Caenorhabditis elegans: one gene and its partner. The protein of the gene in region 2 interacts with the protein of the main gene of each other region in a pairwise test. Each region holds a gene or a part of one and is shown on either strand. Other genes may lie near its edges.

Region 1 (16,619 bases), on a different chromosome or scaffold from region 2:
ATTTCAATAATATTTTGAGGAGCTAAAATTTCAAAGATTCAACTTTTTAAAACTTTTTTTGCTGAATTCATTAACAACACCTTAACAAAAGAATAGGACTGAAATTTTTGTATTTTTTCATTTGAAAATTATTCAGTTGCTAAAAGCTACTTTCTAGACGTTTACCTTTTGCATCATGATTAAAAAGCGTATACGTGAATACCAAATTGTTATTTTAGGCACCATTATCTCGCATCTATCCTTGAACTATTTTTCAAATAAACTACTTTGTTTTTGCATGTTACCTCCTGAAAGTTAGCCTACTAACCCATTTCTCACTGATGATATCTAGTGAATCACTTAGATTACAAAAATTTCACTCTAAGGCAGAGCAAGAAAAAACTAAGAAGGTTTTGGGGAGTTAAGAGTCAGTTGTTTTCTTGATCGTGAAGAGAATTATAAATTACTTTTGAGACGCGCGCACTTTTAATCTACAACTTCGTAATAATTTGTAAAAAATACACTACATTGGCTCAGAATGTAAATAATGATGTTGTTGTAACGTATAATGATAAAAACTAGACTTGGTAAATTAAACTCAAAAATTAAACAATTTTAGTTAAAGTTGAGAGCTTAAAGTGAAAAAATTAAATGTAAAGTTGTCACTTTCAGATCGTTATTTAAAATCAGGAACCAAAATCCAACAAGCGAAATATCTTACCTTCATTCTCCGTTTTCTATTGAGTGACAAGCCTAATTGGTGGATCGTTATGCCATGAATGCGATCGAAAACAACCGAAAATCGAACTGTTGAAATTCGACCAAATCAATAGGCGACAAGTAGCATCATGAGATGCTTATCGTCGACGCAAAGTTGTTATTACTCCACTATGCATAATTCTTGGCGGCGCAAAACTGTTGCCTTCTTCGTTTGGATGCACCGATTAGCTGTACTACTACATTCTCTATGTCGTCTTGTATGTGGTTGGATTTTGTTGTGACTATTCATTTTCCTTTTTTATGACGTTAATATTTAAATGTTTCGGTATTAATTCAAATAATAAATTTAATAAACTAATTCATTGTAACCATAATTTTCAGAAGCACTGAGAGTTTTAGTTCAAGAATTGAGATTATACATTAAAAAGCGAGAAACAAGTACCCATAATGCATAACGAATAAATTTGTTGCCAATGCTCAAGAAAGAAAAAATGACAAGAAAATGACGATAGAAAGAGAGAAATGACCTGTGGTAATTAAGACAAAAAACAAACAAAAACATATGAAATTTGTTACTGCTGAGCACCTCCAACTGATACATCGGAATCTTTTCGAACTGGACCAGTGCCAGCAAGCGAAGAACTATGAAACAGTTTATACCACCCTATTAGTGGTTGAGATCCGAGTTCGAGGTCTTCTAATCGGATTTGCGAAATCCCCATGAATACTTTTCTTTCCATACGACCGTAATCACCAAGCACTGTTACCTACAAATGAACATAAGTTATTAATAGAACAACCTACATCAATCTCAAACCTGAAGCGTTTTTTTCTTTGGACTATCATTAAATATTAAATGTTGCTGGAATAATGGACTAGTTGTTTTAGTGGCGGCGTTTGTCTTTGCTTTGGCAATGCATTGTTTGCCCTCCATAAGATACACTTTTACATAGGGAGCTGAAAAAGTAAGCTCAAAAATATGAAGCTATATCTTCAACATCAACAATACCTGGACAAACTTTCACTCCCGGTTTTACTACCAGATTTTTAGCTTTGATAATTTCGACGTCAATGCCGCTTCTACCGGCCATTAAAGCGATCTGAATCTCTCCTAGCACCGGTGAGGCAAGCACTTGACGACCGACAACCTGACCCGGACCAAGATTGTCGACAAATGTACCAAGAGGACCATCAGCGAGCACTGGAAGCCAACTGAAAATTACGTCACTCAAAAACACGAAGTTACCATTGGCGTGCAAACTTGTCTGAGTGAGCAGAATCAGTGCTTTCCTTGCTGGCTTGCTTCAGAAAGGGAGGAGTGGGTTCGGTGAGCCGATCTGAAGACAAGTTTCCGGGAATTCCAACTTCCTCAGATCTAGCAAAACCGGTTCTTTTCCCTTCTGTAAAATATGATTGATAAATTTACATAACATGTCATGCTTATGCATACCTGCTCCCCTTCCTGGTATAAAACGTGTCATTAAACTTTTCTTTCGCTCCTTCATCACATTGTTAGCAGCAGAGCCTCCGCCTGCCACAGATGACGAACTTGCCAAAGAGTTTTGTTTAGTCTCTTTGATTGGGACTCGGTTAGTGTTGGCAGTGGGAGTTTCAGCAAAAGAAGTATTGTCATTCGAAGTATTGTTTGCATTCATGTTTCTCCTATTGACAGTTGTCATTCTGGAACATATCACGTTATCTTTTGGTGCTCATTTGTTCATTTTGTCTAATAGCTGCTCATGCGTTTGATTTTTTATTGAAAAAACAAGTAAAATAGTTGGAGCGGTATTTCATACCTAATTTAGCTGATATATATTTAACATCTTGCAACATAACTATAAATGTAAGACGTACGTAGTTGGCATGCTATTTGTTGAATGCACACTTAGCGTTTCACTTCCATCACTATAATATCCCTGGTTAGGCATTGGAGGCTGCATTTGTTGCATTTGTTGATTCGGTTGTTGTGGGTGCTGCTGTTGTTGAAAGCCCTGATGGTGTTGGGGTTGTACTCCGGCAGTCTGTTGCTGCTGATGAGCTTGCGACAACGGATGTGGCTGGTGTTGCTGATTATGCTGTTTTGGCGTCATCTGGCCTTGCGAAATCTTGTAGCGTCCATCTTCGTACAACGGCTGATCACCCAAGTAATATTGCGAGCCATGTCGAACACTATAAAGCATAATACAAGCTGCTTGGGATGCATTAACAATTAATGTTTATAAGTTGAGAAATAAAACGTATTTATATTTTAAATACTGCTCAAAAGTTATTGTTCTTTATTTTCATAAAATATATCTGAATCACTACACTTTGAAGCAAGTATCTGAACATAAATAACTTACGATTCTCTCATTGAGTACTCATTGTCATCCCGATGCTTCCTTGTTGGATCGTACATATCCTCCCTTTCCACTGAAAATAACTCAAACTCTTTTTTTCCAAACATTCAAATTTGATGAGGACTCATGAATAATTTAATAGGTGAAGCCCGACTCTTTCAACTAATCTGCACATTCATGACGTAACTCTCACATGCATTTTCTGTCACCTATTTTTTACACACTTACTTTGCGATAGTGCGGTTGCACTACGCGGACGTCTTTGCTGTCGTCGGTTGTAGGCTCGACCAATCATGTTTTGCCTTCCATACCCATGATCAGATGTGTAGCCTGATTGACGTTGGTGGTTTTGTGTCCAATCAGCATACCCATGTCCACCGTGCATCCCTTTCTCACGTCTATATGTCCTGCTCTTCCGCGCGCCACCGCCTGTCGCCAGGTCAATGTCGTTCTCAAGCTCGTCGTCGTCAATGTATTCATCATTCTCCTCGTCATTTGGGGCAAGATGATGATGATGCGGCTGCTTGTCTATGTTTTGACTGATGTGGTCATAATAGTTGGAGGAGTGATCGTAATAATTGAGCTCCGACTGCGGACGTCGTGTCGGTGCGTTGTATGACGCTTTTCTCAATTTTAAACGCTGCAAAAAAGTGAGAATAATAACATGGAATTTGAAAATACTAATTACCGTTCTCAGCGGGTTATCGTCATCCATATCAACAAGAATGCACATGAGTGAATGTTCTCCATCAAGTGGCACTGACGCCAAATCAATCAATGTCTCGCCAAGAAAACTGTTTGTACCAAATTTGTCGTAATCCCAGACAGTTAGCTAAAAAGTTAAGTTTCAGTATGCAAACAAAATTTAAAAAGTTAAAAACAAACCTCTAGTACTCTTTGCAACAACATCGGTTCAGTAAGGCCATTATAGTAAAAAACTTCATCCCAAACTGGCATGAGTGTCTCTGCTATAACAGCAGACTGCCGTCTAGATTTTTCACTTCTATCAGGCAGTAAAAATATTTTCACATATGGGTTTCTGGGAGTCCCGTCGGATCTTGGTGGTAGATCAAACCCACGAACGAGAGCAACTGAGAGTTGTCGATCATGATGAGAATACACAAATGAAACTTCTATTCGTCCAAATATGTGTCCTGTTCCAAAAGCTTGGCTCTCCTGCATCTCCCTATTGCTTGGAACACCAAGGTCGGGCACATCTAGAAAAAAATCATGATGACATTTTAACAAAATGTGAACTATTTTTCATCAAAAAAAAATATCTACACCAAAGTTAACATGGTTAGAATACCTGAATAATAATAGCTTGATGTCGAACGATTGCGTGAAGTCAATGTGTTATTATGAGGGAATACGGCTGATTGTGAATGTGGTAATGATAATTGTTGTAAAGCGGGATGTATGTCTGAAAACAAATTATTTAATTCTGAAGTTCTCAGTTCTAATTGTACCAAGAAAAAGGTCAGGGTTGGGTAATTGACGCTGAAATTGAGATGGATATGCAGATGGCACTCTTGAATACGCCGAGGATGACATTTGTGAGGGAGTAAGGTTGAGGAAGTCGTCACCTCCAGGAATACTGGAAAGACGAGATTTAAAAATGTTGACAGAGTTTAAAAATAAAATGTATATTTACATTGCACTCCTACTAACAATCAGCTCGACAGAAGTATCATATCTGCTTGCAGCGATGCTATCATATACTTGTTCATATGTGGCATTTTGCAGAGACTGTCCATTCCATTCTACTACTTCATCGCCTGAAAAAAAAGTTGAAGAAAAAAGTCTCTCACTTCAAAACTCATTACCAGGACGGAGTCTTCCAATGGTGTCCGCCACACTGCCAGGCTTAACTTGAGTAATGAATGCACCGAGCTTCCCGGTATCCGTTCTTCGGCCGCCTACAATTTTTAAACCGAGATCCCCGTTGGCTGCAGAATTTTCAGTTCGATGAAGTATCATGTGCCCTATTAATTTTTTCTGATCAGCAGAAGGTTGCCATGTTACAGGATGCTGAAAACATTGCCAATTGGAAACTTGTCAAACTTTTAAACTTTTTTTTTTGAATATGTAGGACATTTAGTTATAATTTTTGTATCAAAACAGGCTTACTGATAAAAATGTTCGTATCCGTGATGCCAACAAATCTCCGCCAGATATGCTCCCTGTTCCAAAATGATCATTTCTCGATGGTGACAAGGACAGCGATTTGTCACGCCTTCGATTAGCTTGCATGTCTAAACCCCCTTGGTAAGACCCCTTCAGTAAAGCATGTGATTTACTTTTCAGCACGCTGTTTCCGCTCAAGACACCGCCACCACCACTGCCGCCTACACCAGCGCCCAACGACGATGAATCCGAGTTTTTATGATCGCCATAAATATATCGAAGGAGGTCTGAAAAACTCATCAAAATGTCAACATGGGATTTCAAGAGTACGCACACAAACCCTTCTCAGAATTGCATTCCTCGGACAACCTCTGCACATTCGACGCTCCCATATCATCATGAAATGCGGTTTTCCCACCAGAGGCCACAACTGCTGACGTAGACATCTTCAAAGTGTTACCACCGCCTCCAGCAATAATATCCTCTTCAGAAGATGACATTGATCGAAGTTGCCTTCAAACAATTACTTTGAACAAATAAAATGAAGAAGAATGTATGACAAAAAATGCAGTTTATGTGAAATTGAACTACTGATGAAGAGCGAAAAAAGCTAAATGAGGCAATGCTCATTAAAAATTTGCATTGAAACCGAAAGGCGCTCTTCTGGTTTCTGTTTTGCTGTTGGTTTGACTAAAAAAGTGATCAGCAGAACAAAAAGGAAGTCATGCTAAATAATGAGAAAATGGAGACGTAACTGGAAGAGGGAAAGCAATGAACTCAAAGCTTGAGCACTTAGTACAAAAAAGACATTACTCAATTGAGTTTGTCTATTTTTTCCATTAGCCAAATTACACTTGCTCACCTATGCAATCGATTTTTCACCCGGTTCAAATGGTCGTCAGTAGAAGGACATGCTCGCACGCCTTGCGTGTTGGACTGACTCTGTGAAGAGTTGTTCCGCTCTGAAATTGATTCTCAAAATAGAATTTAGCAAGGTATTATCGATATGATATCATCTTACGTTTCTTAGATTCGAAGTTTGACGAACTTGCATAATCCTCCTCTGTTACCCGGCTGACTGTGTTTTTTCTAAGATTTCGGTTGTTTTGGTTCTGATTCTGATTATTTTGTTGTGAGCCCTGTTGCATTTGGCCATCAAATTGTCTTTGGTCATTCTCGGAATTTCCAGTGTAGAACGTGGGTCTGAAAGCAAGTGGGTATCAAGTTTTTAAACTTTATGGGATACTTACCGCTGGTTCATGCCATCATCCTCAACGTGATTGTATTTGTTCATGGGCGTAGTTTGCTAAATTAGAAACAATTTCGTTTTTTTTTTCATTTTAATATATTTTTCTACTCTGAACTTTGTACGACAGTACTGTAATTCTGACCAAATTTTCCGCTCTAGATGATTCTTCACATTTGTTCATTACTTTTACAGAAGTATCACCCTAATAATAAGCTGCTCAATCTTTTTTCAAAAGCTCGTTTTTGATATCCCTGATCCCTTCACCTCTAATGACGGCTGCCTATTGAACATTCCTCCTTGCCCGTTAGTATTCTCTCTCATTCTGTTGTTATCCGTCCGTTGTTCATTCATTTCTGAAATTATCCAGACTATATCAATTTGCGTCTCGTTCGCAATTTTAGCGCACAACACTTTTTTGTTTTGTTTTTCACTTTCTCTTTTTATACCCCTGGAGGCTCTTACGTTGATGATGCTGCTCTTGTTGTCCATGTTGATTATGGTGTTGATGTGCCGCGCCTACGTTGTTTTGATACTGACTGGGCTGCTGTTGAGGCGTTTGTTTCATAGTTCGAGAGTCATTTGTCCTTTGTTGGTTTTGGGGGCCAGTCTGAATTATTTACATGTAGAATTTGAAATAATCGTGGAACTTTCCAACTTCAAGTACCTGGTTTCTCTGGTTTTGAGTCATATTCTGATTGTGGCTCTGTTGTTGATTTTGGTTTTGATTCATCTGATTTATCTGATTTGCCTGATTTTGACTCATTGGCTGTTGTTGCATAGCTCTTCGATTATTCTGTTGATGATTGTTGGCTCCTTGATGATTATTTTGAACATGATTTTGATTTTGATGCGGGTTCTGCATTTGATTCTGATTGTGGTTTTGATTTGGATGTTGATTTGAATTTTGGTTCTGATTCATGAAATTCTGCTGAGTTTGATTATGATTTGGCTGCATTCCCATTCCACGGGGTTGTTGGTTGTTTTGATAATTTGGAGTGTTCCTGAAAATATGAAAATTAGTCTGAATTGTGATTGATTGAAACTAACGCTTCAAAGGAACATGTAACAATCAAACACAAACTTGGAAAAGTAAAAGAAACCGGAAGAAACTCACATTTTATCAGGCGGCTCTGCTCGCCTCTGCTGCGGTTCTGGTACGTTGTCGTCAGTTAGTGGTTGGGGCGAAGGGCTTGGCTCGGAGCCGCTAATTTTCGGCTGCGGCTGCTCTTCGGGTTGGAACCATTTGCCTGTTTTGGCAAGAATTTGTTGACGTTTCTGGCACAACGAACAAGCCCAGATTGCCTGAAAGCTTTTTACTTCTTCTCTTCAATTCACTTCTCTACTTTTTTATCGGTCGGTGCACCCACGGGGCTAATACTTTCTATTTATCTCTTTATTCCAAACTACTTTGCAAACAATGGATGCTATTGTTTTTCAGCTTCTGTCGTATTTTTTTAGATGTAAAAACGATTATTTCGCTTGATTTCCAAATTAGATTCATTAACTATAAAATTAAACATGATTTTATAATAAATTGTAAAGTTTAGATTTTTTTTGTGAAAATATAAACATTGCAACATCATATCGCAAAAATGTTCAAGTCGATTTTGCTCAAATTGGTTTTTATTCTGTTATTCAAATGCAGTCATCCAGAATTTGTCCTTTCTCTTTCATGTTTCCCCTTATTTCATCCCACACTTTCACTCCCGCTCGTACCTTATTTTTGCTCTGTGCTCTACCTCCACATCTGGCGCAGCTACGCAATTGACAATAAAAGCACTTGTGGCCTGAAAAACCTCTCATCTTGTGCTAAATTGATGTCCTTTTAGAGAGACGATGACAGCCAAGGGTTAGGGGCTCTCTGACGCCGCGGAGAGAATTACTAGGAACAGAAAACGAGGCTCATCTCAGGGCGACAGAAGGACCCTTTGCTCTCATCGCTTCTTCAGGAAAAGGAACAACGTACCAATTCCGTCCGCAAATTTGGTCTTCTGACAGATTTGACAGATCGCGTCATCTTGTGTGCCAACCAGCTTTTTCGATGTTTCTTTCCGCTCCGTGATCTGTTTGTCTAACTCTGACAATTCTTCAGATGCTTTTCTGGAAAATCATTCGCATGAAGAAATACCAATGCAATTATGTGTCTACAAAACTCTTACTGTGATATTTGTGTTTCTTTTGCCTCCTCATCTTTTTGTCGTTTGAAGACCTGCAAAAAACATAAATCATGAGCGTTCTGAGTGAGTATTCTCTATATGTATGTGCACGCATGATATCATGCCAATTTTCTTGTCGAATGTACATAAGAGCACACACTCGTTTGATTGCATATCCATTATTTTGCGTGTGCTCACGGCGTTGTAAGTAATACCCCTCCCCTTTTCTCGCTCTTTCACCCCTCGGGGGGCCCGTCATGCTCCGAGACAGAGGACTCACACCGCACCAACTACTTTTTTGAACCCCACAAGAAGCAGACGGATGGGCAAAATGAACGATGGGGGGGGGGGGGGGGGGGGAGGGGGTTCGTGCTGGAACAACTCACATTTTCTATTATTTCACGTTCTTCTGCAGATAAATGGGATAAATCCGGCATCATCGACGGATCGTCCATGATTATATTTAATGAGGCACTGAAGTTTGATTTTTAAGGTAATAAGGAGTTATTGCATCATGTGAAATCATAGCGTATAAAAAGACTAAAGCGCGATAACAATCCGAATAGAAAGAATAGAAACGAATTTGTTCGGTTTAAGAGTTGTATGTCAATAAAGGCCAACAAGAAAACAGGATCAACGCTGAAACAAAAAAAGAACAGCGTCAAAGATGGGGAAACCGAGAGAGGAAAAATAAGAGCGTCCGGGATTAGAAACGTTGAAAAATGACGCCTTTTCCAAGACATGAGCGCCCAGTAAGACTGGATGTGGTCATTTTCGACGACGACGTCGATGAATACCGTGGGAAACTCGGGACATCCAAAAATAGTCTTCCTCTTCTTTTCTTTACTGCTATCAAGAACTTTTTGCAAAAAAGAGAAAGAGAGCACTAAAACGGGAAAGGAATAAGAAATAAGCGTAGGAGGTGGGGAAGTGGGAAGCGAAGGAAAACGGGAAAAGAAAAGGAATAGAAGGGTGATGGATATTGGGTTCGCCAGGTTTCGCCATAAAAAAAGGCCAACCATGGACAGGTAAAGGTTCAAGCTGATGTTTGAATTGACAAAAAATGGACAGCTTGTGCAAAGTGGACAAAAGCATGTAAGAATAAAAAGCAAAATTCGATGCAAGATTAATGATGCACAAAAGGAGACATTCATTTGAGACAATGAATTCATGCTCGTTTCCCTGAGCACGGAAAAAAGACAAGGTTTGAAGATAGGGGTGGGGGGAGCCTCCCGTATCCGTAAGGAAAGAGAAAGAGGGCGAAAGGAAAAACGGAGGTGAAACGGGAGGAAAAGAAAAAAGACAAGGCGCGCCCAGGAGGAAAACCCGGGCGAATGCGATATAAGCAATGAATAAAACAAGGCCACGGATAGCGAATAGTTCATGTTTTACTCAGAGCTCTTCTAATAAATAAATGGATGTGTGTAGATGGGAGGGAGGGGTTTAGGACTCGGGGGCTAGCGGCGTGTGGCGACTGATGCGCAAACGCAGGGTGGAGAAAACGACGAAGGGATGGAGCAACGCCCGCAAAACACAAAAATGCTCCAAAGGCTCTACCCTTCTTTTCTCCCCCAACCAGTCTTCTCTCCCTTTCCATCCCGAGATGGCTCTATGTGGCGTTTGTGCCAAACGTTGACAATTAGCAACTCAGCGGGCAGCTTATCCAATATGCTCAAGATTGCCAAGTTTTGTTCTTTCTTCGTTGGAGGGCCTCCACACATACACACACATACACACGCAGGCCTCAGCCTCAAATTGGATTATCTGTTCATGAATGCATAGCAAAGAGAAGTATAAAACGACAGAAAAAGAAGACGAAGGAGGTGAGGACAGGGGACAGACAAACAGGGAACAGGACGAGGGATCACCTTTCCAAAAAGTTCACGCCCCTTCAATGCCCTTTCAGATACGTTCAGAATTCCTACTAGGACTATGAAGTAACTAATTATTAAAACTCACAGCAAAAGCAAAACATTTTTGTTCAACAATCGAACAAACTTTTCAAAAAAAGAGAATATTAAACATTCGCAACACTTATATATCCATATCCATATATATATATATATATACTATTTTCCTATTCCATCGGCTGGATTTCTAAATGTGTTATATGAAAAGAGTTTTCACGATTTGAAGATTAGATTAACTATGAGAAGATATATAAAAGGCGGACAAAATCCGTTATGAATCAATTCATATAGCTGACAAGAAACAGAATTAACAAACTTCTAGATGGGTAAATGTGATGTTTCAAAGATAAAGATTACCTTTTGGAAGTGCATTAATACTTTTCAGATTTGTTATATATCAGAGACATTTGAGAGTTCTTGTTTATTAGCGGAACGCTATCGGAACGAATTTCAAAGTTATGAATGTGAAAACGTAGTACGGTTTTCTTGAGGACAAAACTGTTTCTGAACCTAAAAATAAGGCATTCAAATCACATTTCATCAAATTGGACAAAGTTTGAAAAATGAATGACAATTTAACATATTTTCAAATTGTTTTCAAACTCTATCTGTTATTTGAGTGATCATAATATAAGTATACCTATAAAAACCCACTACGAGATAAAACAATTGATTGTTTTTTACTTATGTATATGTTTTTGTGGTTATGGTAAACATAAAATGTTCCTGAAAACAATTGAAGTCACATCAAAATTATTTAATACTATTACTCTTAAAATATGCACTTTTAAAAACACTATATTTGAAATACCCAAGTTGCGTGTGTGGGTTTTTTACATTTTTCCTTTTTAGGCTTAGAAATGGTTATTTCCTAAGCCCAAAAATACAAGAATATGCTTCACGTTTTCATTTTTTTTATCTTAAAAAATTACTTTTAAAATGAGGGCATGTAATACACAAGTACCCGTTTTTCTTATCTTTTAATAATTTTTGCATAATTTTGAAAGTTATTGTTGCATTTTAAATATATAATTTTGGAATAACAACTTATGAAATCCAGAAAGTATTTTTTCAGATTCAAAACTTTCTCAAAAGTACGGAAAAAAATAGTTCACGAACTGAGCAAAAACTGTTTGAAAATAGCATGGAGATGTTTCAAAGTATATTAAAAAATAAAATAAAAATTTATTTTTGTTTTAATAAAGCTATTTACAAATTTTAAGTTAAAACCTAGAAAAACTACCATCGAAAATTTTACAAAATTCAAACAGAGTCAATTTCTCAGCGCAGTTCGAATGTTTCAACGTATTGGGCAAGAAAAAGTGGACGTGAGAGAAGGCAAAAAACATTCCGTCAATAACTGACATCACTCAACTATTGCGTCTGCAAACATTCGAGCAGGGAAAAAGGTTAGGAAGGACCCAGAAAGGGTCTTGTGTCGTTGTCGCAAGAATGTATGTCCATTTATGTGTGTATGAAAATTTTCAAAAAAAAGACAACGAAAGATAGAGAGAAATTGGTAAAAGGTTTTCCCTGGCAAAAGCTGACAGCAATCAGTGGTCCACTGACAATGTGGGTAAAACGTGGGATTCGTAAGAAAATAAAATATTTTTTGGAGGGCACAAGGAAAAGAAGTGCATGTGGGAATACTGATGGAAACAAAGGTGCAGAGAGTTGTGGAAGAATAGAAACAGACTGCGCATGTTTGTACTACAGAGAAGTGCTCTCTTTTTTGGGTGCAAATTGAATATTTCAGGTGCAAGGGGAAGTGAAGTGAAAAAACGCAAAATGCAATGGGTCAAAAAGCTATATTTGAAAAAAAAACTACCGGAGTGGGAGTTAAAAGTGTTATATTCTACTTTTAATAATCATGTATTTTTAGATATTTTTAAAGGTGGAATAGACACACTCATCGCGCTTTTAGAATTTGCTTTTTAGATTTAAAATGAGTCAAAAGTACCGGATTTTGTAAAAATTCCAAAAATTAAAAAAAAAAAGTTAAGGAGGTTCAAAGTTTCGGAATAAAACTTACTTTCAGCTAAAATCTAAACATTTTTTATTTTATCAAAGTCACAACTCATGGAAGTAATTGTATTCTAATATCACTCTCTCTCTCCATAATATCACTATGCATAATTCGGAAATTGATTAAGTTTTGTTCCGTTGATTAAGATTGTTTTTGTTTTAATGTCGATGGGTGCACAATGTACAAATGCACTTCGGCACTGATAAATTGGAAAATAAAGATTTTAGCTGAAATTTAGCCTTGTTTTCCGAATACTTTAATCCGGCATAACTTTTTTTTTAATTTTCAGAACGACTTGTTTCGCAATCAGATAGTTTTAGACTTTTTTCGGTATAAAAGAGCAAGGCCACAGATTTCGGTACTTTACCGTCTGAAAATTGTTAGCTCGATTGCCTCAATGCAGCAAAAAACAAATGTTCGTTCTGATTGAAAAAGATCAGTGAAGAAATTATAGGGGTCTATTTCGAAAGGTATTAAAAAAGCTTGAATCCTATAATTACATGCTAAATTTTCTTTTACACTATGTGCATTTGGTCTAATATCTTATAGATTAATAATATGTTTAGAACCTGGTAATTTTGAGGAAAATGATGCAATATAATCAATGGAGTATACATCGGGATACATGAAAATTTCGGAATGTTTTTATTGGGTACTAGCTATCTGCTTAGTTCATAAAGCTGGTTTTTCTATAATAAACAGTAACGCAAAAATGCACGAGCAAAGTGCCTAAATACAAAAAGTGAGATGAGGTAGGGAAGGAGCAGTGAGGTTAGAGTGCAGCGGTGCATTGCACCAAAACTTTTTCTTTTTTTTTGAGACAAGCGTTTTTGGCTCATTCGTGTTTGGTGTGTACGGCACTAGTCCCTCTCCTTTTCTTTCCATTTTTCTTTCTTGCTCCCTCTCTTTCTCTCCCTTTCAATAACAAGGAAAACGGCCGCGCGGGACTAAACGACAGAGCAGTAGGAAAATAAAAAGAAGAAGCAAAAGTAGAGGAAGCGGCAGCATCTCAACGAAAAGAAGAAAAAGAAGACGAAGAAACGAAGCTCGCGCTCTCTGACTTGAGATCTCATCGATTCTCCCCACAATTCCGTGAAGCACGACTACTTTTCTCTCTCTGCTTGTTTTTCATTTTTCTTTGCTCTTCACTTTCTCAGTCCTCTTCTTTCGCAGTAGTGTTTCCTAGCTGCTCCAGCTTGCCTTTCTCGTTCTCATTGAAAATAAACCGAGATGGAATAAGAAGAAGAAGAAGAAGAAGAAGGAGGAAAAAAACAAGAGAAACGGAAGAAGGCGTTGCGAAATGAACTTCCCCAAAGGAGACGCAGCTTCAGATTCATGTCCGGACGGCTACTACTACGACTACTATTACTATTTCGTCGCTCTTTTCCTCTGATTTCCAATCCAGTGCGATGCGGAAGAAGAAAAGTTGACAAAAGTTGTAAGCGCGGCGAAGCGCTAAGTTAATATTAATTTCCAGCTACATAGCATTGTGTTCATATGAAAACATATTGTTTTCTACCTTTATTAGAAATTAACTACCAAAATTTCGTGGATAAAAATAAATGAAACGAATATTCATAAATTAAATATTACATGTTTACCTACATATGTATGAGACTTGTATCTCATTTGCTTCAAGTTGATAATTTACACTTCGGTTTTAATTGGTTTTATCAAACAAATTGTCAACTTTTTGAAAATGTGCAAAACAGCTCTTATTTGTTGGTAGTGAAACACTTTTTGATAAAATAAGACATCCGAGATATAAGCCGTCAAAATGGAATCATGGAGTGGGGTGCAAGTCTAATAGGAAAAACTAGAAAGGTACTTCCAATTTTTTGCACGAATTCTTACACAAAATGATAGTTATAGTGTTGCGGAAGTTTGTTGAATAAGTCAAAATATGTTTGATTTTGCAGTTCACATATCAAAAGATTTTTTATTCGGCTTTTCTATTGTTTTTTTTTCGAAAATAAAAGTTTTCATCAATTTTATAAGTTGTATATTTTTGGCCAAATAAATAATAAAAAAGGTTCCACAAAAAGTTATTTTATTGTTACAACCTTTCAGAAACTTTGTCTCAATGAAATTTTTCACCCATAAAAAATTTATGGCATGGGAAGCTCATAAAAGAAAATGAAAAAAAGAGGAAAATGAAATAGAGTATAATGATGAGAGTATTTCCAGTTTCAAGTTTCGTTTCTTTTCATTCATCTTCCAGTCAACTCAACTATGCAAGAGTAACAGATGAAACGGATACTTAAAGGATCCAATTTTGCGCCCTCTTACAAATGAAGAATGTTGTCTCATTCTGTGTGTCTATTGGAAGCATCTCATTTCTTTTCTAATAGCAATTGGACGCTAATCGCTCAAGAAATTTAATAAATTGTTGTTTCATACAAGACAGAAAAATATAAATTTATCAAAAGAAATTGACAAAATACCGTAGTTATTTTATCAGTAACAGCATCAACCCGTGTTCCCCTAGCCAATTAGTCGTAAGAGATAGTCGTAAGAGTTTTCAGTGTTTCAATTTTTTTTTCAAATTAAGGTTGATTCTTTTTAAATACTGTAATAATTAATGATTATCAATTAGTTCTTTGCTGACACTATAAAAATTTTGAACTCCTTCTACCAGCCGATTCACAGCCCAGCTACACAGATTCAAAATATCAAAATTTCATTAAAGTGTACAACTTTTCAAAAACTGTTCTACTTTGTCGATTTCCATAGTAACTATCGATAAAAACTCGGTAATTCTTATGATTTTGTTGTTTTTCAGTTAAAAATTTTTTAAATTAAAGTTTTATTATGAAACTTCATTTTACCGCCGTACGATTACTGTATTGTGCAAATCCCCCCACTGAAAAGACCATTTTTCGAAAACTTATACAAAAATCAATATAATTCAATTTTTGCGTCAATAGGGAGTCATTGTGAATATATTATTGAGAAATATATTCAAATTCTTGATTTGGCTTTTGCAACAAAAAATTGATGCAATACTATTAGAAATAATATGACAGATTGTACAGATGAAAAAAATCCAAGAAAACCTCGGAGAATTGACATGCTACATCATTTTTATTTGCTGCTGCTCCCTGTTCAGTTATCGAAGAGTGGCAATCAAGAAAAACGAGCCTTTTTTGTTCGTCACAAACAAACACCCCAGACCCATCTCTGGCCAAACACAAAAAGGACCTTGTATATCTGATGTCACTTCTCAACTTTGCCTTTTTGGCACATCTCACCAAATGTCACATCCCAAATGTTTGAAGGTCTGAAAATTGACAATGATGAAAATGGGAAATGAAATAGGAAAATGAAGGAAATGTAAACCTTTGCCAACGGGAGCGCATCAAATTTCATTTTCATCATTTGTGCAAGAGTTTATTAATAAATTATTGTTGGGGCTAGGAAAAACAAAAAAAACACAGGGACGGAATTTCTAAACACAGACAAAAATCAAAACAAAAATTACAATTGATAAGTCTTTCATTCCAAACAAACACTTTGTGCTGGTGGTGAGTTTATTGTTAGTAATTGCATTATTATTATTTTGAAGTAAAGTTTAAAAACATATTTTACAACAGAAGTGGAGATGTTAAAAAATATGAGATTAATTTAATATTATTATAAGATATTAGATTCTTAACAATTGAGTCAACGTTATGATTTTGGAATATGGGATTTTATATGATTGCACTCATAATAGTTCAACATAACCAAATATTATCAATTAAAACATCAAACATTGTTTTTCTTAAGAATATTTTAGACAATGTTTCGGTAATGTAGCGAATATTCACAAAATATGGGTTTTTACGGATTTCGTAAACGTTAAAAATGATAATGTACAAATACAAATTATTGAAACGTATTTGAGTTTCGAAATTTAAAAAAAATATGTGTTCCTTGGTCGACTTCCAAAGGTGAACACTTATTAATTGCCATGTTTTTCTGTAAATTTAAACAATTCTAGTTATACTTGAAAATGTCAATTTTTTTTTAAATAAAATTGATTTAGCCTATATTTCTGTCAATAATCATACACCTCACAATCAACTCAACTCTGGTAGCTTATATATCTTAAATTTCAGACAAACAATATTT
Region 2 (16,496 bases):
AAAATTGGCAAGAAAGACGGCAGCAGGACGGAGAATATGATAGTGTGTCGATTAGCAGCAGTTTGGTGAATAAGAATAAGAAAGCTGCTAGTGAGCAGGGTAGGTGACTTAGTATATTGAAAATATCTCTGTTCGTTTTTAAGATATTGGTGTTTGCTAAAATAAGTAACATTTGTGAGGCAGTGCTAAAAAATTTGTCAGTTGTCAATTTTCTAGTAAAACTAAAGACAATCGAGTTATAAGCTGTCAAAGATCAGCTAGCTCGATGCACAATGAGCAGACCTAGCTGTAACTGATCATATCTCAGTTCATTTTGAAGTTATTAAATTCTTTTTCAGTGCATTATTATAGAGAAATTTATAATAAACATTTACTCAGTTGACAATTTTTTGATAAAATAAACGACAACCGAGTTCAGCCAAATCAGCCAAAGACAACTGTTACGATGCACCATAAGAAAAATCGCGCCAAGCTTTGAGAGCTTATATCTCCGTTCATTTTAATTGAGTTATTGTTTGCAAAACTATAGGTATAGAAAAAATAATGATAAACATTTTGTCAGTTGACTAAATTTTGATAAAAGAAACGACAACCGAGTTATAAGCTGTTAAATGAAGGGAAAATTGATGCACCATGTACAAAACGGTGCCAGGTTTTGATCACTCATATCTCCGGTGATTTTTAAGCTATTCAGTTTTTTTCAACCGCAAAATTTTAGAAAAACCAATATTAAACATTTTGTCAGTTGGCAATTTTTGGATACAACAAACGACTACCGAGTTGTGAGCAGTCAAAGTTGAGCTAACCTGAGGCACCATGTTAAAAACGTTGCCTACCTTTGATTGCTCAAATTTCCGGTTATTTAAAAAAAAACCATAAAGATTTTGTCAGTTGACCATTTTTTGATTCTCTATTTTTTTTATTCTCTAATATTCTAATTTTCAGGCGGCATCCGCGGAGCCCTTGTCCCGTTCGACGAGCCCCTCCGCCGCGCTGGCTCCGACAATGATCTCTCCTATCGTGGACCCCCACCACATCATCCATACGGACCTCCTCATCCGATGCACCATCCCTATGCAATGATGCCTCCGCCATTCGGCTTCTTCCCTCCACCGCCACGTGGACACTTTCCACCTCCTCCACCACATTTTATGGGTCGAGGTATGCCCCCACCATTTATGCCTCCACCACCACATTTCGGTATGGGACCACCACGTGGATTTATGCCGCCCCCGCATCCAATGATGTTCCGAGGTGGACCATACCCGCCGTTCTTTCCTCCACCACCACCACATTTCATGAGGCCTAGTAGCCCACCGACTGATGGTGGACCAATTATTACTGGGCCAGAGTCGGTTTATGGGACAATGCGTCGAGGAGCTTATGAAGAGCCAGCTTATGTTGGAGCAACTGGAGGATTCCCGGAGGCTAGCTATCAACCGGCTAATTATGGTGGAGATGGTTATGAGACATATTATGATACATTCAAGAAGCGAGGAACACTGAAGAAGGGGGAATCGGCGTCGATGGCTTCCACGAGAGCCGATAGCGCCTGGGATCAATATGAAGCTGGGATCTATAGAAAACCACATATCAATGAGAAAGCTTTTTCGGGAACTTTGAGGTAAGAAAAGTTAAGATTGAACGGAAATTCACAGAGATAAGAGCATTAAAATTGACTTTGTGCATGGTGCTTTGTACATCAACTAGCAATACACTTTCTCAGCTCATATCGCTGTTCCGGTTGGTTTTATCAAAAAATTGCCAACTAACAAAGTGTTTGTTATGAATTTTTCTATAATTTTGTAGTTGATCAAATTTTGATAGCTCAAGAATCAGCCGAGATATGAGCAAGTTTTAAACATGGTGCATCGAGCAAATACTTTTTTACCACTTATATATTGGTTGCTTTCGGTTTTATTAAAAAAATTACCAACTAACAAAATGTTTGCTATTAATTTTCCTATATTTTTGTAGTGAAGCAAGTTTTGGTAAAATTCAAATGAGCCAAATGAGATATAAGTTTTTGAAGCTCAATTTTTCAACATGGTGCATCGATAGTGATTGATAACTTCAAATTCCAGATCAATGGCCGCCAAGGAGACAAGTAACGCTACGCTGAATCGATCGGAGCACGCCGAAGTTGCATCGCAAACGGTCGAGACGGAGGTAATTGGTTTTTTATTGATTTTCTAGTGAATTATCGATTTTTTAAATCATCGATTTTCAAGGAATTATTCGATTTTCTAGGAAATTACCGATTTTTTGGTAAATTAATCGATTTTTGGGGTAATATCGACTTGCTGAGAATTTATCGATTTTTCTTAGAAAGTGTATTCTAGAAATTTATCGATTTTCCGAAAAATTATCGATTTTTTGGTCTTTTTTTGGTACAATATCGACTTTCTGGGAATTTATCGATTTTCTCAAAAATTATTGATTTTTTTTTGCAGATAACCCGCCCCGACTCTCCACCAGTTGACTATGAAGCCTTTGAGAAGATGAAGCTAAAGGAAAATAGCCGACGCGCTGCCCAGCCCACTAATTAATGAATATTTTATCGATTTTTTCCCCTGAAAACCCATTTATTCTTTCTTCCATCCACTACAAAATTCTATAATAAACCGCCAATTACTGGTCTTGACAACAAAAGGAAATTGTTGAATTTTATTGTAATTTTTGAAAAATTCTTAATCTAGAACTGCCCCTGCCCCCTTTATTGTGCCTTTTTCTGTGAGTATTTTGACATATATTTATAATAAGCCGCATTCCTTGAATATTTATATTTAAAATAAAAATCTAATAAAAATTCAAATTTTTCCGAAAAAGTACGCAAAATTTCGTCGGGTTTGATGTATTGTACGCAATTTGCAGTTTTTGGGAGAATCGAGCGGTAGTTTAACTTGCGTATTTATATTTTTTCAAAAAACATGAAAACCATCAAAACTTGCGTTTTTGAGTTGTATTTTGATTGGAAGATCACTGGATTTCGCGTAAAATATCAATTTACGTCATATTTTGAGCTTTTTATAGTTTTGCTGAATATTTACTGCAAGACTAGTTTCTCTGTTTTTCTCAGTTTCCCCACAACAAAAACCACTTTGTTATCTGAAAAATCCATCAAAATCCGCGGATCAATCCGCAAAAATGCTGCAAAACTAGTTCTACCGTACCCATTCAAAGGCGCATTCGAAAAGATATTGCAGCGGGTCTCGACGCGAAATCCGCCACCGTATCCGTTTCTAGCGCGATTTATGAATTTAAAACCGATTTTAATTGATTTTCAACAGATTTTCGCCGATTTTTCGGCAGAAAATCGATTAAAATGTCAAAAGAAGCGAATTTCTCGTTTTATGGAGCCCTGCCAAGCTTCAAACCGACTCGACACTGCTGCGGAATCGTGGAAAACTCGGTAAACATTTTTTTTCACTTAAAAAGTCTAGAAAACCACGTGAAATCTCAATTTAGGGTCAAAATTTGTGAAAATGAACATAAAAAATCTAAAAAACATCGATTTTCTTCAGGTTCTCTATCTTCTGCTGACAGCTCTCACCACCCTCCAACTCATCGTCTTCATCGTAATTTTTATGCACCCGGAGCTGCGAAATATGCTCAATCTGAATCCGAATTTGAAGCAAAATCAGGATATTCTGCTTCTTATACTCACTGCAATGTCTTCTATATGGCTGCTAACTGTGCTGTTCAGTTTTGTTGGTTTTATGAAGAAAATCACCTATTCTCACTTGCCACTCATCGCTACTGAGGTAGAATTCGAGAAATTTGAGAATTTTAACCGCGAAATTCGAATTCCCGGTGAAATTTAACTAAAAATATGTTTTTTCCAGAGAGATTTGCAAAATTCTGCAATATGTCGTCAAATTCGGTGTTTGCGTATTTTCGACGCTACCGTACCCCGCGGAATTCAAATTTCTAGTGGGAAACCCGCAAAAAACGTGGTTTAAGGGTGAAATAGCACTGGGAATTCGAATTTTTCAATGAAAAATTCTCAAAATCTCTAAAATAAAAAGTTTCTGGTGATCTTCTGTCTCGTCGCGACCGCCCTGTTCGCCGCCTTCACTTGGTCAATTTCACCGTCGGATTATTCGAAAATTCCCATTGGAAGCTCGCCGAAAAACCGAAATTTTCAACTTTTCAAGCTCATTTTCTCACTGTTTATGGCACTTTTCCACGTGTACTACACGTATATAGTGTATTGTTTGTGGAGAGACGGCAGAAAAGAGCAAAAAACCGAGGAATTTATTCGAAGACAACATATGATTGATGAAGTTTGCGAGGAAATGTTGTGGGAAGAAGACGAGCGAAATTATCAGGAAAATAGGTAGAAAATCGATAATTTTCGTGTGATTTTACTCTAAAAATTCGGATTTTTCGCTTAAAATCGTTAAAAATCACATAAAAATTGAGTATCGAGAAATGCGCCAGCGAAATTCAGAATTTTGATGGCGCAACTCTTGATACAGTTAACATTTCGCGGTTTTTGAACGAAAATCGATAATTTTCGAGTGATTTTTTCTTGAAAATTCAAAATTTGTACTAAAAATCGTAGAAAATCAAATAAAAATTGAGTATCGAGAAGTGCGCCAGCAAATCTTGCTGGCGCATTTCTCGATACTGAAAATTTCGCGATTTTTGAACGAAAATCGATAATTTTCGTGTGATTTTACTCTAAAAATTCAAAATTTGTACTAAAAATCGTAGAAAATCACATAAAAATTGAGTATAGAGAAATGCGCCAGCGAAATTCAGAATTTTGATGGCGCATCTCTCGATACAGTTGAATTGAGTGATTTTCAATAAAAAATCGATAATGTTCATGTTGATTTAACCCTAAAAATTCAAAATTTGGACTAAAAATCGTAGAAAATCACATAAAAATTGAGTTTAGAGAAGTGCGCCAGCAAATCTTGCTGGCGCATTTCTCGATACTGTGAAAATATCGCGATTTTTGAACGAAAATCGATAATTTTCGTGTGATTTTACTCTAAAAATTCAAAATTTGATCTAAAAATCGTAGAAAATCACATAAAAATTGAGTATCGAGAAATGCGCCAGCAAAATTAAGAATTTTGTTGGCGCATCTCTCGATACAGTTGAATTGAGTGATTTTCAATTAAAAATCGATAATTTTCATGTTGATTTAACCCTAAAAATTCAAAATTTGATCTAAAAATCGTAGAAAATCACATAAAAATTGAGTTTAGAGAAGTGCGCCAGCAAATCTTGCTGGCGCATTTCTCGATACTGTGAAAATATCGCGATTTTTGAACGAAAATCGATAATTTTCGTGTGATTTTACTCTAAAAATTCAAAATTTGATCTAAAAATCGTAGAAAATCACATAAAAATTGAGTATCGAGAAATGCGCCAGCAAAATTAAGAATTTTGTTGGCGCATCTCTCGATACAGTTGAATTGAGTGATTTTCAATTAAAAATCGATAATTTTCATGTTGATTTAACCCTAAAAATTCAAAATTTGATCTAAAAATCGTCGAAAATCACATAAAAATTGAGTATCGAGAAGTGCGCCAGCAAATCTTGCTGGCGCATTTCTCGATACTGTAAAAATTTCGCGATTTTTGAACGAAAATCGATAATTTTCGTGTGATTTTTCCTTGGAAATTTAAATTTTGCACTAAATATAGTAGTATCGAGAAATGCGCCAGTAAAATTGTAAGCTTGCTGGCGCATTTTTTGATACAGTGACAACATCGTCTGTTTTAGGTAAAAATCGATAATTTTCTAGTCATTTTACAGGAAAAATTTAAAATTTTGGCTGAAAATCGTACAACTCACTAAAACTAAGTATCGAGAAGTGCGCCAGCCAATTTCGTTGGCGCATTTCTTGATACAGTACCAACTTCGAAATGTTTACTGAAAAAAACCTTATTATTTTAAAATTCTCGCACAAAATTACGAATTTTTCACAATTTTCACCCAAAAAATTCAACAAATTTTGAACTTTTGGGTGGAAATTTCCGAATTTTTCGAATAAAAAATCAATTTTTCACACTTCCAGTAGTGAAATAACCTGAATTTTCCGATTTTTCAACTAATTTTTCTCTCAGAACCTTCCCAATGACCGGAATCTACCCGCAGGACCGCTCAATTTCCACTTATTCCGAATCAGAATGCTCAATTTCAATGTGCTCAGCCGAAATTCGAATCAATGAAATGTACGCCGCATATCTTCAGGATCAACGTTATTTCGACACTTCTAACTATGGAAAACGCAATTATTAGGCGGAAATTCGAATTTTTCTCTCACTTTTTCTTTCATTTTCCCGTTTTCTTCTCAAAAACTGTGAATTTTTCCTGTGAAATTCACCAAATTTCCCTATATTTCCCGGATTTTTATAATTTCTGTGTTAATAACCCCAGTTTTGATTTTCTACTTGCCATTTTTCACTTGTGAAACGAATAAATTATCGATTTTTAGACCGGTAAATGTGGTTTTCAGGGAGTTTTGGGGCAAAAATTAGATTTTTTAGCGGTTTTTAATGAGTTTTCTAGTTTATTTTTGAAAAAAAAACAAAAAAAAGTTTTGAAGGGAACAAATGCTAAATTTTTGCAAAGTTGTTTTAAACCGAGTTTTCTCTAGTTTTTATTAATTTTCTTGAATTTTCAGTCAATTTTTAAGTTTTTATTGCAATTTTAAACTAACTCGTTTCATTTTTCTCCTATTTACATTTTTTTTTCAGCTTAAAATGAAAAATCCCCCAAAAAAAAATAAATCCACAAGCTCTTAACTCTGTGCGGCACCATTGCGGAACACCGTGCCGCTTGCTTGCAAATGGGCGGGGCCTAGCTTCAATACACGTGTCTCAACGGTTTTCCACATTTTTAACGTTAAAAAACTGAATTTTCTCCGATTTTTCTCAATTTTTTTCCAAAAATTTGTTTGAAAATGTACATTTATTGATTTTTGTAGATAATTATCCACATTTAGCGGGCAAACTCCGCGTTGTATATAATGGAACCGCCCAAATTGTTGGGGGTTGTTTTGGTGAGTGTTTTCTCGATTTTGGAGTAGAATTTGTTAATTTTGAGCGAGAAAATCGAAAATTGAATGCGTTTTTAGCCTTGGAATCATGGAAAATCGATTTTATTGCGAAAAAAAACTGAATTTTTACCAATTTTCCGCTAAAATTCAATTTTTCAGACAACCGCCCTTCTCTTCCATATCGCTTTAACTGCAAAGCAGGCAGTTGTATCCAGAAAGTCAAAATTATGCGGGAATGTCGAGTGTGAAGGTAATTTTTTGCCTGTTTTCAGCCAAAAATCGAATTTTTCCAGAGGTTCTATTCAAAGCACGCGTGAAACGGGTGATGGGCATCAATAACGATCCGAGTTTTCTGAATTTGGCCGAAAACGCGATTATTTCTGTGGTGGCCGTCAAGTTTAGCGATCGGCCCGATATTATGGAGGGAAAAGTGCGTTTTTTTGACTGAAAAAGTGCTAATTTTAAAATTTCCAGCTCAACGGCGAGGGTTCGAACGGGTTTTTCTACGCCGGAGCCATCGACATCATGCCATTCGCAGAGTTTTTGCGTACAGCGATCACTGATAAGAAGGAGATGCTCATGATCAGTCAAAACCCGGCAGACATCGGTGATAAGCGAATCGTCGGATTTTTGCACTCGGAAACCGATTTGGTACGGGATTTTAACGCTAAAAATGCTCAAGCGGCTGCGGAGAACGGGCTCCCGGCTCCCGAGCCGATACCGATCCCGGAACCAGCTCACACGGGGCACGGACATAGCCATGGAGGCCATGGGCACAGTCACGGAGGTCATGGACATTCTCATGGGCATCCGGCTCCAACTCCAGCTCCAACTCCGGCTCCAAAACCTATCGAAGAAGCTCCAAAGCCAGCCGAAGAGCCCGTCAAGCCTGCCGATCTGGAAATGGACGCAGAAATCGAGCGGCTCATTAAGGAAGAGGAAGAACGCATGAAAAACGTCGCCGAGCAGCCTCCACTGGTGCTTCAATCGCTTCCAGAGACCCCAGAAGCCCAGAAACTTCCAGAAGAGCCCCTAGAGCCAGTCACTCCTGAGCCAATACCAGAAGCTCCGGTTCCAATTGCTCAATACATCCAGGAGCCGACGACAACTCCAGCTCCTCTGGAAGCTCCAGCTCCAGTGGAAAATGCTCCAAATCTCCCAACTCCAACCTTTTCTGTGGATGATTTGATGGCTCAAGCGGCTCGAGACGCTTTGAATTCGAATTCTATAGTTCCTGATGCTCCAAAAGTTGAAGAGCCCGAGCCCGCTCCAACTCCAGCACCAGCTCCAGCCGAAGATCCAGTTGTAACCCCGGCTCCGGAAGAGCTCACCGTAAGTTTTCATTTTTGTGTTTTTTCCGCGTTTTTCCATGTTTTTGCCCCGTTTTGTGACGTTATTGTTGTCAGGGCGTCTGCTACAAAGACGACTGTCAAGGATTGCAGACACCTCCGCCACCAGCTCCACCGCCACCGGCTCCAGCAGTTCCAGAAGAAGCTCAAGCTCCAACTCCGGCTCCAGAAGAAGCTCCAGAAGCTCAAATCCCGGCTGAAACTGCCCAAATTCCACCGGAAAACGCGGTCCCAGAAGCTCCAGAAGAGCCGGCTCCAACCACAACACCACCACCAATTTCAGCGGGAGAAGCCGAATTCTTGAAATGGGAAGAAGCTCGTCAGAAACGAGAAGCCGTCGCTGCTGCTCCGTACGAAGATGCTCAGGCTCATCAATTTGTCGCCTCACCGCCCCCGCACGTCTCCTCGGGGCTCATTGAGCTCATTCGTAGCTCTCTTGGGCTCGGGAATATCACGGATTCATCGGTTTTGCTCGTTGTGAACTTGACGTTTGTAGCTGCGAGTTTTCTGGTTTATATCATTATCAGAAGCTTGTCGTCGGGCGGAGAATCTGATATTTTGGATAGACAGTGAGTTTGCAGGAAGAAAATGCGCAAAAAATGAGCCCAATCATGTTTTGTAGATTTACGGGGTGGTTTTTGTAGATTTACGAAGCGTATGTAGATTTACGGAGCCTTTTTGTAGATTTACGGAGTCTTCGTGTAGATTTACGGAGTCTTCGTGTAGATTTACGGAGCCTTCTTGTAGATTTACGGAGCCTTTTGTTGTAGATTTACTGGGCTTTAGTAGGTTTACACGGCTTCTTGTAGATTCACGGAGCCTTCTTGTAGATTTACGAGGCTTCTTTTCAAAGTTTCCTGTTGATTTACGCACTCTTAATAGCTTTTCGCTCTTTTCACCGAATTTCATTAAAATTTCAATTTTCAGGGCTCATTTCGACCTCATGAACAAGCACAAGCAGCTCCAGCTCCAACTCAATGCTAAAATCACCGAAATCCAGAATCTACAGGCTAATGGAGCCGCCGCTCAACGCCCAGAGCAACCGAATTATGAGCCAGAGCTTCTTGCATTGAGACAACAGTGAGCCGACTATAAAAATTGTCATTTTTACCCCTAAAACTCGTAATTTTCAGACTTGCTCACCTTCAATCGGAGCTCCAAACCGCTCATGCTCAACGTCAGGAATTCGAGATTCACTATCATCAAATTCGTGAGCTCGCCGAGCAAAAGGATCATCAAATCGCGCAGCTCACCGAGCAGGCCAACGACTATCAGGAACGACTCGAAAAATCGCAATCCGAGCTCCAAGAGCTGGCTCGTCACGTGGATTCGGCTCGCGCAGAGCTCATGGATAGTCAGACGTCGGATTACGGTAGACAGCAGGAGCTGATGGAGAAGCAGGCTGAGCTCGAGCAGATTTACGTGAAAATTGATAATTTGACGGCGGAGAATCGAGATTTGACAGATAAAATTGCTCAGCTTCAAGTATCAGATAGCCTAGAGCTTGAGGAGCTTGAAGAGCTTAGAAATAAGAATTTGGAGCTCCAGGAGCAAGTTAAACAGCTTAAGGAGGAACTCGAAAAGGAGAAGAGTGTTGCTGGATCTGGAAATTCGGGTGGATGGTCGGATATTGATGATAATGAAGTTGTTGAAGCTGTGCAACCCATTGAAACAACTCCAATTTCATCAGAAAACTCGGAGAATTTGAAGAAATTCGAGGCTGAAATCGCGGAGCTGAAGGCAAGCTTGGAGAAAACCGAGAAAGAGCTCACAAAGTACCGTAATCTGTACAACGAGAAGCTCACCGCAATCAGTGATAAGGAGAATCGGAGCCAAATTGAGATGGAGCACAAGTTGAAGAACGCAGAGTCGGATTTACAAGAAGCCAAGCGGCGAGCCGAGGAGATTGGAGCCGAGAAGAAGGAGCTCAGTGATCGGCTCAATGAGATGCTCAAAAATTTGAATCAAAGTATGCAAAAATCGGCGGAAAACGACAAAATGCTTACACAGCTTAGAGAAGAAGCGTTTGCAAAGGAGAAGCAGCTTTTGGAGCATGATTCTGTGCTCCGAAAGAAGGATGATAAGATTCGAGAGCTCGACGCAGAGTTTAAACGTGTGAAAATGGAATATGTGAAGCTCGAGACAAAGAGTTTCCACGATGTTCGAAAGCTTAACATGGACGTTGAAGAGCTCAAAACTCAGCTCTCAATGGCTGGAGGTGTCACGAGCTCGCGGAGCATTCCAGATCGCCTTGTTTCTCCACTTCAGGAGCCTATTTGGGATGAGCCCGAGCCAGCACTGCAGAGAGTTGTTTTACCATTGGATGGATATTCATCGATGAGAAGACGATCGACACGTCGGAGCCAGTTGCCGTTTGGAGCCGAGTCACCGTCGGATCAGGAGAAGAAGCAGGCGGCGCCGAGTCATCGGAGACGATCGAGAAGTCATGGAAGGCAGCCACCCAGTTTTCATGGTAGAATATTTGCGCATTTTTCTGGAATTTTCCGACTTAAAATGCTCAAAAAGTTGAATTTTTGCCTGAAAATTTAATGAAAATTCGTTAAAATTGAAATTTTTGAGCAAAAACCTGAAATTTGAGTGCTTTTCTCGTTGAGCTTTTGCCGGAAAAAAATGCTCAAAAATATTGATTTTTCACTAAAACCCTGCAATTTATCGAATTTACGAGCTAAAAATGTTCTCAAAATTTGGCTTGAAAAACTGTAATTTTTCCGATTTTTTCAGGCTGAAAACAAGAATTTTCACAGTTTTCTGGTGCTTGCTTCGAACTGAAAATGCTGTAAAAACTAAAAATTTCGCCTGAAAATTTACGGGAAATGCACAAAAATGTGAAAAATGACGTAATTCGCTCGATTTTTTTGTAATTTTCACAGAAAAATCGTTGAGTTTCAATAAAAATGCTAGAAAATTTCATTTTCGCTCGAAAATTTATCAAAAAATACTTTTTCCTTCTAAAAAAAGCTCAATTTTCGCTCAATTTTCAGTTTAAAAAATTGAAAATTTGTGATTTTTCACATAAAAATTATGAAAAAATTCAAATTTCCCCCAATTTAATATCCGAATTTCTTGCAGATCCCTATTCAATGAATCCATATCTGCCCGGCTCATCGGATTCGAGCTTTATGAGCACATCTCAGCCACAATTCCTTCCGCTTAACCGTCAACACAGTCGAAGTGGACATTTGATGAGCAATTCGGCGAATGGACCATATTCATCGGGTGGCTCAAACGGTGGACGGAGCCCACCACCAGAGATGCCGCTGCTCAGCGCGATTCCACCGCCAGGAGCACGAAAACCGCTTGGCAAACGGCCAGGTACTGGCGAATTTTGATTTTCTCTCGGTGAAAATGGCCCCGGAAACTGAAAAAATCACGATTTTTGGCTAAAAATGTATGAATTTCAATAAAATTTCAAATTCTGGCGATTTTGAGCTAAAAATGTCATTTTTCCAAGGTTTTCTACTCCAAAATTGTCGAAAACTGCAAGAAAGTTGAAAACAATAACTATTTTCAGATTTTTGAGCCCCAAAGTACTCGAAAATGTGGAATTTCCTGTGAAAAATTCTATTTCTTATCCGAAAATGCGAGTTTTGGCCAAAAAATCGAAAAAAAAACTGAAAATAGTGTTTTTTCGCAAACTTCCTGCTAAAAATTCGGAAAAAAAACTGATTTTTACCCGAAAATTTCTTTAAAAATGCTAAAATCTGGGCTAATTATCTTTTACTATGATATCTTTTACTTTTTTACCTTTTACTCATCCATTTTATCGAAATTATCTTTTACTCATTTACTCATTTTTTTTCAAATTTATTTGTTTTATCTTTTACTCATCCATTTTGAAAAAAATTATCTTTTACTCATTTACTCATTTTTTCCATTTTTTGCTAAAAATCAGTTTTTCGGGTAAAAAAGTTGTCAGGAAGCCGATTTGGGACCTATATTTGGCCAAATTTCTTTAGTTAATGATAAGGTGATCGTTATCTATTAGATAAAGTACTCCGACCACCCATCCGGTCTTCACTAGTCATATATCTCGATATGTATATTCAGGCAAAATTATTGAGAAAACTGATGGAGTCCTTTCTGAAATGTCTTTAATTGATGGAATTAACAGTTTTTATCGCTCATCTACTCAAGTTTTCCAATTTTAATTTTTTATCTTTTACTCATCATTTTGAAAAAAAATTATCTTTTACTCATTTACTCATTTTTTTGAAATTTTACCAAAAAAAGAGTTTTTCGTGTAAAGAAATATTTTCAAGCCGATTTGGTTGATCAAACTGCTCAGTTAACGTTGGTTAGTGATGTTCTATAGATAAACTGTTGGAAAAAATTTTCCAACTTAAAAGTTGCCATTATATCATCAAAGATCCAGACAAGCAAGTTCAAGTGACTATGTGGAGTCTACCCACTCAAAAATTTTTTTTTTCAAAAATCAAAATTTTGAGAAAATTGATGAAGTTCTTCCTGAAATGCATATAATAGATGAAATTAACCGTCCTGAAAAAAATTTACTACACTTTAACTGGAATTTTAACCAAGTTTTTGCCGATTCAGTTACCCAACGTAGAATTTTGAGAACACAAGAGAACACAAACTTATATCAGATCATTTGAAGAAGTTCAAAAAAAATTCTGAATGGATCCGGATTCGAACCAGGATTGTTTCTACTGAAGAGCCCGCGCTTTACCACTTCACCAAACAGGTGAGAGGCGCCCTCGTTTCAAAGCTATATATGAAATCTGTTCCATCTTGAATTTGGTAACTCAAATTGACAACTCTTCATGATAACACGAAAGTATTCTATTCTGGAATGTTGTGCAACTATTCTTATCCACAGCTAACTTGTCCTAATTGATCTTATCCATAACGGGAATGTAGCTTATTTGATTTTGTAGTCTTAGAATGTGCCTGTATTCTTCAGTGAAACCCTCCCGGCGGCCTAAAATGTTTTTAAAACTATTATTTCCGAGTATATTTTTCTAAACTTCACTAGATAACAGTTTGGGAATTTCTGTGATTCATCGAAAAAGCCTTTTGCGAAAAAATCATCGTAGGCCTAAAAATTTTTCTCAAAAACACCTCGAGTCTTGTATTTTCGTGGAGATAATATGCTCAGTAATTTTTATAATTTTTTTTTTCATCAAAAGCCCTGTTTTCATGTTTAAAACGTCTTTTATTACTATTTTATTCCTTTCAAAAATCGAAATTAAAAATTGTTCGGAGTACGGTAGACCTCGGTGTTTGCGTACTTTTGCGTACGGTGCATTTTATTTGACGACAATTTTATTTTTGAAAGGAATAAAACCGCAAAAAAAGACGTTTTAAGCTCGAAAACAGGGCTTTTGATGAAAAAAAAAATTTTTGAGTGGGTAGACTCCACATAGTCACTTGAACTCGCTTGTCTGGATCTTCGATGATATAATGGCAACTTTTAAGTTGGAAAATTTTTTCCAACAGTTTATCTATAGAACATCACTAACCAACGTTAACTGAGCAGTTTGATCAACCAAATCGGCTTGAAAATATTTCTTTACACGAAAAACTCTTTTTTTGGTAAAATTTCAAAAAAATGAGTAAATGAGTAAAAGATAATTTTTTTTCAAAATGATGAGTAAAAGATAAAAAATTAAAATTGGAAAACTTGAGTAGATGAGCGATAAAAACTGTTAATTCCATCAATTAAAGACATTTCAGAAAGGACTCCATCAGTTTTCTCAATAATTTTGCCTGAATATACATATCGAGATATATGACTAGTGAAGACCGGATGGGTGGTCGGAGTACTTTATCTAATAGATAACGATCACCTTATCATTAACTAAAGAAATTTGGCCAAATATAGGTCCCAAATCGGCTTCCTGACAACTTTTTTACCCGAAAAACTGATTTTTAGCAAAAAATGGAAAAAATGAGTAAATGAGTAAAAGATAATTTTTTTCAAAATGGATGAGTAAAAGATAAAACAAATAAATTTGAAAAAAAATGAGTAAATGAGTAAAAGATAATTTCGATAAAATGGATGAGTAAAAGATAAAAAAGTAAAAGATATCATAGTAAAAGATAATTAGCCTAAAATCTGATATTTCATGCTCCAAAAAAATGGAAATTTTTCAAAAATTGAGGTTTTCGGTCCGAATATTGCCGAAAAAAGTGCAAAAAATTTAAAAAAATCGATTTTTTTTTTCAGATTCTGCTCACCATCTTGGCAAATAGGACACTGGATGCTGCTCTTGGATTTAAATTTTTTTTTCTTGTAATTTTCTTCTTTTCTTTTAGATTTTCTATATATATATATATATACCCATTTTGTTCTCTTCTCTGAATGTTTTTCCCCTTCAATTTATCGATTTTTTCGATTTTTCCAACCAAAAATCGACCAAAAAGTGTCTTAAATCATATCAAAAAGCTCAACTTCGCTTCGTTTTTTCTTGTTTTTTTTAACTTTTCTAGAATTTTCACCTGAAATACGAGTTTTCCCACCTCTAAAACCCCCTGTCGCCTTATTTTATACCAAAAATTCAAAAAATTTGAGGCAGAAAGCGCGCTCCACTGGTAATTTTCGCGGAAATGCGATAATTATCACTGGAGCGCACATGCTCTTTGAATTTTTATTGATTTTTTTCCGACCGAAAATGTGATTTTTCTGTGGTTTTTTTTTGTGCTCCCCCCCCCCAGCCGACTAAAATTGAAATTATTTTCTTCGTGTATAGCTAAATAATATATATATTTATTTATTGATTGGTGTTTTTTTTCTCTGTGAAAAATGAGTTTTTTTGTGAAATTTCCGGGTTTTTTTTTTGGTGGTTGTGGTGATGGTTTTCATGCCAATTATTGTATTCTATAAATTTCCTGGAATTTTGAATTTTCTTTTTTTCGCTAAAAATCTTGAAATAGTGAAGTTTTTCAGCAGAAATGGAGTCGAAATTGGAGCAAAACGTCACAGCGATGTAAGAGAGCAGGAAATTTGAAAAACATTCTATTTTTTGTTACAAAATTCGCTAAAATCTCGAAATTTTGATTAAAAATCGTTTAATTTTTGAAAATAGCTTAAAATTTCTAATAATATCGACATTTTTTTTTATAAAGAAAGTGTTAAAAATCCAATTTTTCAAAGAAAAAAACTGGATTTTTACTGAAATTTTACGAAAATCCAAAATTTTTCTAATTTTCCCTCAAAAATTGAGAAAAAAAAACGACTGAATACTCTGAAAAATAGCGTTTTTCGTGAAAATTTCAAATTTTCTTCTAAAAAACCCAAAAAATTTCAAATTTTCTTGCAGGATGTCAAGCACCGGAGCATCGGGAATTACAGTCGCCGACTCGGAAGGTGTCAGGCTTCATTCGGCTGGAAAGATTACTGTACGCACAAAAAAATCAATTTTTTTCGGAAAATTGCAATTTAAAAGCGAATTTTTATATAAGATTTCGAAAAAAAACAGCAAAAAAATCAATTTTTCTAATTGAAATTTCGAAAAAAAATTCGATTTCCCCACCAAAATTGAAAAAAACCTTTAAAAATCGATTTTTCACCAAAAAAATTGCAAAATTAATCGAAATTTCAAAAAAAAAAAAAAAAAAAATTAAAAATCCATTTTTTCTTAGCCAAATTCAAAAAAATCGATTTTCTGATAAAAATTCTCTAATTTTTCAAAAAAAATCAATATTTTCTTCAGGATATGGCAAATGTTGGCTCATTGATGATCGCCGATGCGAAGAATATGTTCCCAAAAGGTACAAGAAATAAGAAGAATAGTTATCCAATTGTCACATTACACTCATCGGACGGATCAAAGACTACGGTGGCCAATAAGCATGGAGAAACTGTCTCAATTCATTTTCAGAAATAAATTACGTCGGAAAATCTGGAAAATTCACGAAATTTCACTCTAAATCGCCTGTTTTTACCTGAAAATCTCTTTTTTTGATCATTTTTCCTGAAAATTTCACCAATTTTTCTCAAAATTACCTTTTTTAGCGGAAATTGGAAAAATACAGAATTTTTTAAAAATCTAAAAAAAAATCGGAATATTTCATATTTTTTTAAATCAAAAATCTGACATTTTCAGAAATTTTTGTTCGAAAATCTAAAAATTTTGAACGTTTT

What was found.
Region 1: the proteins of R148.3 (region 2) and unc-10 interact in a two-hybrid assay, tested with the Caenorhabditis elegans proteins (one large-scale study listed by BioGRID).

The regions. Positions count from the first base shown.
Region 1 is NC_003284.9:7,271,277-7,287,895, forward strand, and holds unc-10 (Rab-3-interacting molecule unc-10), read right to left. Parts: upstream 9,047-16,619; 5' UTR 9,026-9,046; coding exon 8,957-9,025; intron 8,808-8,956; exon of another isoform or gene 8,669-8,807; intron 8,624-8,668; coding exon 8,574-8,623; intron 8,515-8,573; coding exon 8,381-8,514; intron 8,327-8,380; exon of another isoform or gene 8,242-8,326; intron 8,202-8,241; coding exon 8,131-8,201; intron 7,717-8,130; coding exon 7,529-7,716; intron 7,416-7,528; coding exon 7,079-7,415; intron 7,022-7,078; coding exon 6,877-7,021; intron 6,768-6,876; coding exon 6,679-6,767; intron 6,472-6,678; coding exon 6,416-6,471; intron 6,369-6,415; coding exon 6,187-6,368; intron 6,128-6,186; coding exon 6,028-6,127; intron 5,679-6,027; coding exon 5,506-5,678; coding exon of another isoform or gene 5,500-5,505; intron 5,453-5,499; coding exon 5,169-5,452; intron 5,070-5,168; coding exon 4,865-5,069; intron 4,817-4,864; coding exon 4,693-4,816; intron 4,636-4,692; coding exon 4,508-4,635; intron 4,462-4,507; coding exon 4,348-4,461; and 20 more. Other genes in the region: F46H5.11 (Nucleotide-diphospho-sugar transferase domain-containing protein), read right to left, coding at 701-706. UniProt on the Caenorhabditis elegans protein: Regulates the efficiency of a post-docking step of the release pathway. Acts after vesicle docking likely via regulating priming. May regulate the conformational changes in syntaxin.
Region 2 is NC_003281.10:3,168,389-3,184,884, forward strand, and holds R148.3 (DUF4476 domain-containing protein), read left to right. Parts: upstream 1-6,942; 5' UTR 6,943-6,992; coding exon 6,993-7,025; intron 7,026-7,181; coding exon 7,182-7,272; intron 7,273-7,315; coding exon 7,316-7,452; intron 7,453-7,496; coding exon 7,497-8,354; intron 8,355-8,428; coding exon 8,429-8,940; intron 8,941-9,298; coding exon 9,299-9,451; intron 9,452-9,504; coding exon 9,505-10,844; intron 10,845-11,461; coding exon 11,462-11,704; coding exon of another isoform or gene 11,705-11,721; exon of another isoform or gene 11,722-11,780; intron 11,781-14,579; coding exon 14,580-14,605; 3' UTR 14,606-15,257; downstream 15,258-16,496. Other genes in the region: R148.5 (PID domain-containing protein), read left to right, coding at 1-99, 946-1,624, 2,085-2,169, 2,454-2,549; R148.4 (MARVEL domain-containing protein), read left to right, coding at 3,326-3,412, 3,525-3,764, 4,029-4,339, 6,088-6,262; lmtr-5 (Late endosomal/lysosomal adaptor and MAPK and MTOR activator 5), read left to right, coding at 15,305-15,339, 15,673-15,751, 16,066-16,239.